2 linked regions of the Ovis aries genome follow. The protein of the gene in region 2 binds, or shares a complex with, the protein of the main gene of each other region. Links are inferred from orthologs where the notes say so. Each region holds a gene or a part of one and is shown on either strand. Other genes may lie near its edges. The genes, in order: SMAD1 and SMURF1.

Evidence for each region.
Region 1: the proteins of SMURF1 (region 2) and SMAD1 are in contact, whole or in part, in an NMR structure (PDB 2LB1), measured with the Homo sapiens proteins. The link is inferred for Ovis aries from reciprocal best matches to the Homo sapiens genes SMURF1 and SMAD1. Residues at the interface, in NP_065162.1 of Homo sapiens: Glu313, Val314, Arg315, Ser316, Arg321, Tyr323, Val325, Asp326, His327, Arg330, Thr331, Thr332, Gln333, Phe334; in NP_001003688.1 of Homo sapiens: Asp221, Thr222, Pro223, Pro224, Pro225, Ala226, Tyr227, Leu228, Pro229, Pro230, Glu231, Asp232.

Annotation. Positions count from the first base shown.
Region 1 is NC_056070.1:12,882,321-12,886,584, forward strand, and holds the start of SMAD1 (mothers against decapentaplegic homolog 1), read right to left. Parts: upstream 3,104-4,264; 5' UTR 2,905-3,103; intron 2,627-2,904; exon of another isoform or gene 2,418-2,626; intron 2,351-2,417; exon of another isoform or gene 1-2,350. UniProt on the Homo sapiens protein: Transcriptional modulator that plays a role in various cellular processes, including embryonic development, cell differentiation, and tissue homeostasis.
Region 2 is NC_056077.1:37,690,814-37,693,897, forward strand, and holds part of SMURF1 (E3 ubiquitin-protein ligase SMURF1), read left to right. Parts: intron 1-1,106; coding exon 1,107-1,191; intron 1,192-2,441; coding exon 2,442-2,541; 3' UTR 2,542-3,084. UniProt on the Homo sapiens protein: E3 ubiquitin-protein ligase that acts as a negative regulator of BMP signaling pathway. Mediates ubiquitination and degradation of SMAD1 and SMAD5, 2 receptor-regulated SMADs specific for the BMP pathway.

The sequences.
Region 1 (4,264 bases), on a different chromosome or scaffold from region 2:
ACCCCATGTCATCCTGATGTATCATTTTGCACCAGTTCAGTGCTGTAAATCAATTTAAGATCTCAAGCAGGTTGAAAAGGCTGGTAATGATGCTTTCTGTGCCGTCTCTGGAGACTCTACATTATACACAACTTACATTATTTATAAAGCCTCAATGATGCCTCCATTAGCCTTGTAAGACTACACAAATGAGATCTTTTATACACACACAACTTGGCCTTGATTATGGCGGTGACTGCAGCTTAAATACACTCATCTAATTACACTCAAGTTTATTCTTTTTCCAATCTAACCAAGTTATTAAACCCAGAATTACTAGAAATCAAAATTACAAACTGCAGTTTAGTTTTCAACTAATAAATGTATTTGGAAAAATGAGATACTTCCTTTTAATGCTTCATTGAGCTTAGTAGAAAACTGAATTCCAAGAGGTATAAATTAACATTTTAAATGGCCTAAGAATTGTCAATTCTCTAAAATGCAAAGGTCATCAGCTCCTCAGGGGTATAACACCAAAGGACACTGAAAAAAGGAAAAATGTATTCTGTTACATACCTATGGCTGGAGCGGTCAAAACTAAATCAAGGACAAATCCCTACCCTCAGAAGAAACCTGATCCTGCCCGGATCCTCCAGAGGCTTTGGCATCACCCACCTCTAGAAAACCACCTCCCAAGACCCTGGTTATAGTTTCCTAAAGAATTGCAATAGTGCACAAATGTACACCACCTGCACAGAAATATCAAATAACTGCAAACGGGAAGGACGGAGGGAGAGGAGAGCACAAACACTTAAATCAGTTACAGCATATTCAGGCCTGACCCCTCCAACAGAGTAACACTGATGCAAAATATTTAAACCACTGAAAAATCCCGGGGCTGTGAACATTGATTCGGTCCCGATTCTTTTTCAATCATGGCTCCAGTACAGCTCACCTACCTCCAATAAAGCATCACGCGGTTATTAGAAACAAGATGAAAACTCAACAGAGCGCAGAGAACAGTTTTCTCACTGTGTTCCTGAATGTAAGCACGCTATCCACGGCAGGCCACGAGAGCGAGAAATGTTCTGAAATCAAGGCATTCTGCTATCGAGCGGCGTGCTCAAAGTTTCAGCAGCAGAAACAGCACACCGAGAAATCAGGCAACTTCTGTGTCATTCCACCTACTCAAGAAACTTCAGCTACAATGGCAAGAGAACCTCAGGGGAAACAAACAGGGGCCGGTTGTCACAGCCCTTTCGACAACGATGCTTTCTCGGGAGATGGCTGGGAGACGCGCCCGGATTTTCAGAAAGGGAAGTGCCTTACCGGCGATCTTGCAAGTGCATGGAAACAACGTCCGCGCCGCAAAATAAACAAAAGCCGCAGCTACTGTAGTTGTAAGATCCTGCAGGCATCGGTTCCCCAGCCCTTCCCAAAGTACATCAAGAAAACGCTCTCCCTGGAAGCCTTCATATATAAATATATATAAATCAACTAGAAAAACAAGCCCACATCTCTTTCACACCCACCACCCCCACCTTCCCGCAACAACAACCCCGAGAAACACTTAACAAAGACCGAGCGCAGAGTAAATGAACAGTTGTTGCACCGCGAACTCACAAACACACACGCAGTGAGGCAATCGAATCCGGGAAAGGGAAAGGAATGAGACGACACTCTGAGACTTGGCGCGGGGGAGGGGGGGTAGGCGGAAGAGAAAAAAAAAAAATTTACACGCCGCCGCCGCCAGACCTTTGAATAAATTAGAGGGAATTTCGGTGCGAACTTTCCTTGACCTCGACCCCCAAGAGGCTAGTGGGGGCAGAGGAGGGAGCCCGCCCCGCACGCGGAGGGACCCAGGGCACCGGGTGTCCCCCTGGCGCAAGCCCGGCTCCGCGGAAAGGGCAGCGCCGGCGGCCGCCCTCCGACTCCTGCAGGGGTCGCCCGGGCCGGCGCGGGACACAATGGGCCCGCGGGCCGCGCCGAGTGCCCAGGCCCGGCTGCAGGAAGGGAAAGGGAAACCGGCGGAGGGGGAGGGTGGCCGCAGAGGGCCGGGCGCAGCCAGGGCCGGGAGCCCGGGAGCCTCGGAGCGCGGTTCCGCACCGCAGACCCAACAAAGACGCGGGGGGCACCGCGGCCCGAGCCCAGCCCGGCTGGTCCGGCGCCGAGGGAAAAAGGTGGCAGGTTTGCTCCTTTAGAGCGGCCGGGAGGCGCCATCATGGGCGGGGGTGGGGGTCCCCCGATCCGCCCCACGCGGGGAAGAGACCCCCCTCCCCGCCGCAGTCCGCGCCACCGGCCCCGCGCTCCGTCGCGGCCACCCGGCCCGCCCGCGCCCGCCCCAGCCCGAGGCGGCGGCGCTGGAAAGCCCGGAGCGCCGAGGGGAGGGCGGGGACGCGGCGGAGGGGAAAGTTGGGTTCGGGTCTGTTTCGTTTTACCGGGTTGGCTGCGCGCCCATCCGCGCGGGCGCACGAGTTGGCCGGGCGAGCCGGGTCCCCCGCGGCCCCGGTCCGGGCGACCGGGAGCTGCGCCGCGCTGCGCTCGCAGGGTCCCTCCCCGAGCCTCGGCCCGGGCTCAGCGGCTCGGCCTCTCCTTCCTCCGCCCGCCCGCTCGCCCGCTCGCTCGCTCCCGGAGCCTGGATTGATCTGGTCGCGCTGGCGTCAGGGAGTCGGAGCCGCCCAGCCTCCACTCCTCGGCTGCCAATACTCGGCGCACTCGCCCGCCCGCCTGCTCGCTCGCTCACACGCGCACCCGCGCGCCACCGCCGCCCGACCAGGGATCCTCTCCAAATTCCCGGCCCTGCCGGCGCGAGCGCTGAGCCCGCGCCGCCTCCCCCGCCTCCAGCCCCACGCCCCGCTTGTTCCAAGGAGAAAACACTACTGCCCCTGCCTCCTTGAGTCCAGGGGGAACCGACTTGTGCCTTACCTGCCGGTGAAGTTTCGCTTTCAGTGTTTATTTCCGAAATGTTCATCTACACTCCCACCGTGCCCACCGAACCGCATTGGAAACGCAGAGTGCATTTTGACAATTACCTTTCGAGCCTCGCCTTTTTACTGTCTAGTTTTCCTTGCCCTTCACTTACTCAGTGATTTGCAAGCCCCAAAAGTTGCTCGTACGCAGAACTGGATAACCTAATGACTATTGCCTGTGTTTATAGCAAACCTTGAATCAATCAATACGTGTGTTTTATGCCAGTTCGGGATCTAATGATGCCAGTTGGTTACCTCGTTGCTCCAGATGACAAATACCACAATATAACTTAACAATTTTTCCATCCAGTTTCTAAGTCTTTCAAATGTCACGCACGAACTTCCCCAAATAAAACGAACTAACTCCCAGCAACCTGATCTGCATAGACATTGACAGTGTCTTTTTGTAAGATTTAATTTTTCTCTTGGCCAGCTCTCTGTAAGCTGGCACGAAATCTTGGATAATTACCATAATGATGAATTATGTTTAGAGGCGAATAATTATTCTGAGGAATAAATTTCACGTGTACCAAAAGAACCATTACCACCAGTATTTTTAGAAAATTAATGGTACTCTCCAATTGTTCGTGTACTTTTACATGTGCACATTCATTTAAAATTCTTATTAGCTATTTTATTATTTCTGCATTCCATGTTTAATTATTCAAAGGAAATGCAACAAGTCCCCCGAAATATGTAAACCGTGTTTATACACAGATCAGACTATTTCTGCTAATTTCTTCATTAAATGATTTGAGCAATTACAGATCAATTCTTGGGCCTCATCTCATTTTCCCTAAAATCAACATTTGACACAATTCTTCATTCTCTACTCCTTGAAACAATAGTTGGAGTGAGCCTTGTTAAATGCCACTCTGATCAGGTCATTCCTCTGCTCAAACCCTCCTTTGATAAAGAGAGTATGCTATATCCATACAATGGAACATTCAGTTCAGTTCAGTCGCTCAGTTGTGTCCGACTCTTTGCGACCCCATGAATCGCAGCACGCCAGGCCTCCCCGCCCATGACCAACTAACTCCCGGAGTTCACCCAAACTCATGTCCATCTAGTCGGCGATGCCATCCAGCCATCTCATCCTCTGTCGTCCCCTTCGCCTCCTGCCCCCAATCCCTCCCAGCATCAGAGTCTTTTCCAATGAGTCAACTCTTTGCCTGAGGTGGCCAAAGTATTGGAGTTTCAGCTTCAGCATCAATCCTTCCAACCAACACCCAGGACTGATCTCCTTTTGAATGGACTGGTAGGATCTTGCAGTCCAAGGGACTCTCAAGAGTCTTCTCCAACACCACAGTTCAAAA
Region 2 (3,084 bases):
GAAAGAAACATCTGTAAACTGGGAGCCCGTGTCAGCCACACGAGTCTTCCACACTGCCTGCTTGGGGTGTCTCAGCCCATGGGCCCGCAGCGGCGGATGCTGGCTGGCTGGACTGGTGTCCCCACGGGGCTGGACCAGGAACGACCCCACCAGCAAGGCCAGGGGGGCCGGGATAGTGGGTGGGTTCCCCGCGCCCAATAGAACAGATGGCGTTGGGGGAGGAAAGCAGCTATAAAGCGCTCGGGTCAACTTCAGAGTTCTCCCGAGCGAGCGCATAAGCACGCTGTGCAGGCTGGGCCCTCGGTCCCCTCATCCGTTGGCCCGCCTGGTCGGCTGCCTTGTCCAGCAGGGAGCCGTCCTCCCAGGTGTCCCTTTCGGCTCAGACTGGGTCCCCGGGAAGGGGGCTGGGGGCGGCCGTGCACAGTATTGCAGCTGAGCTCAGAAGGGGCTGTGGGGCTTGTGGTGGCTCCTCCACCCGGGAAGGGCCTCTCCTGCGCGCTGATGCTAAATCTGGGGGTTTTGTCACTTGATAACCCTGGCAGAAGGTTGAGAATACTAGTATCTTAAAACTTAGTAAGTGGACTTCACGTGTTCCTAGTGAGAGCGGGCAGGTTTCACGCAAACGTTCCCTGTAGCCTTGTCCTTAGCCTGAGGCCCTCCTGGACTGAGACGTTCCCTCCTGTCCTGGGGCTTTGGTCCTGGTGTTTGTGTCTGTCTGTCTTCCCACCGGCCTCTGCACAGGGGGTTTCCTGACTCCAGAACCCGCTTGCCATCCGCTGCCAGCAGGGGGTCTGCTTGCTAGACATTCCTGGTTTTAAAAACAAATTCCTGGTGACTTAAGGATTCTTTCAGACGCCTGCCCTGGGGCAGGCTCACGGTCGGCTGTGAGAGGACAGCTGTCTGTGCTCTTCTGCGCCCGTGAATTTCCTAGAATGTCTGATGTTAGTCACTCTGTGGCCACCATGTGCATATCCCGAGACTGCGCAGAGCTCCCAGGGTTATGTGCACCCGACACCGTCTGGCAGGACGGGCAGGGGGCCCCGGGTGGTGGCAGGGGGCCTGGGCCCCACCTCTGAAGCGTGTTAACTAGACTGTGGTCTCGTAAGGCTCTACAGGCGCCGCAGGGCCCCGGCTCTTCACCATCCACCTGATCGACGCCAACACGGACAACCTGCCCAAAGCCCACACCTGGTAAGGACCGGCGCCCCACCCTGGGGGTCCGTCTGCGGGGCAGCCCACACGTCAGGGTCAGCACGAGGCTCTTTCAGGAGCGCAGTTAAGTCCCAAGACGTGGCTGACCTTGGAGCTACTCCCCGACCCCTGCTGCGTGTGTGTGCGTGTCCGTGTGTGCGTGTGTGTCCCTGTGTGCGTGTTTCCCTGTGCGTGCGCGTACCGGTGCCGTCAGGAGGGGGCACTGCAGGTTTAAGTCTGGGGTTCCTGGTCTCTTCCTTCTTGGACCTCTGCCTGTGCCAGACGTCCTTGTGTACTGAAAAATGTTTCCTCCCTCAGTCTTCACTTAAACAATACTTGTAGTGGGGTTAGTCCCTTTGTGGTTTAAAAATCTATTCACTCATTCACCCTTGTGAACCACGTCGTGAGTGTCCCTCCAGTTGACCAGAACCGGTTCTAGACGCTGCCGGGACGCATGGTGACGTTGCGGGAGGTTCCTGGCTGGGAACCGGGGCTGGGGGTCCCACGCTGACCACGACATCCAAGTGGGTGGGCCTCCATGTCTGTGAGACAGAGGACAGCCCCCTGGCCCACGTGAGTCTGTGTCCAGCGGGGTCGACCCCCAGGGCCACCTCTCCCACCCCAGCAGGCTTATGTCCTTGGGGTCAAGGACCCCTGAAAAAGACTCCACACCCTGTAGCCTGACGCCTCCTCAGAAACTGTCCTAATGGCTTAACCCCTAGTAGTGCAAGAGGCCTCTGTGTGTCCTCTCAGTCAGAATTCTGTAGTTTTGGATTCATTGTGAGGTAAATAGATTCTTAGGGCTTTTGGACACAGCCTTGGGAATGAACATCCCTGAGGAAATGCTGGCCCGTTCATCTAATCCCGTTGGGGATCTGCCATCTTGTTGGTTTTGAGAGACAGTCTATCTCTGCCGGAAATACTCCGGACTGGCCAGCTGTGGTTAGCCCGGGTCCTGGAGAGTTTGGTGCCGGGCAGTGAGCCAAGAGTGGGGTTTAGACCACGGTGCTCTGCAGCTGTGATCCTGGTCTGAGAAGTGACTTCTCCCCAAACAAGAAACCAAACGAGGTGACAGCTTTGTCCTAATCTGCCCAGGATGCACTCACCTGGTTTCACTGGTTTGAAAATCTTTGCCCAAGAAGCCCCAGGTGTACACACAAGTGCTCAGCCGCCCGCCCTCGCCCCTCTCCCGGGAGCAGGCCCTCGGCCAGGCCAGCTCGGCGGTGTGTCTCACCTCTGTCTGTTTCCAGCTTTAACCGGATCGACATCCCGCCCTACGAGTCGTATGAGAAGCTCTATGAGAAGCTGCTGACGGCGGTGGAGGAGACCTGTGGCTTTGCCGTGGAGTGAGGTGCACCCCGAGGAGCAGACACAAGCTCACGGCCACCAGACCCCGAGCGGCAGCTCTCTGGATGCCTCTGTAAAGCCGGCTGAGGCCCTGGAATCCTAGAAACCCGAGGGAAAGGCTGGTCTCCCCTGCTTTTCGCTGGGGGAGCGAGGGGGCGGGCAGACTGCGGCTGGTGGCTCCTCCCACATTCTCCCCCTCCTGGCAGGAACCCCCCCCACATCCACCCCATCCAATAAACGCAGCCAGGTCAGCACGGCTTCGGTCACACGGGACCCTCCACTAAGGCCGCAGCACTCGCAGTGGCAGCTCAGTGCCCGTGGGCTCCATAGGAGTCTCGACCCCCAGGGAGGGAGCTGCGTGGGGCGGCCCGGGGCACACCCCACAGCTGGACCTGCTGCTCTGTCTCAAAGCCGACCTAAGGCCCCTTTTTGAGTTCAGCAGCTCGGATTCCACACCCCCCGTCCAGCGGCCTGCTCTGGGTAGCAGGTTAAGTTCTAACTGACAGTAACCGTAAAATAGATGCTTGCTGGAGTTCCGCCACTGCA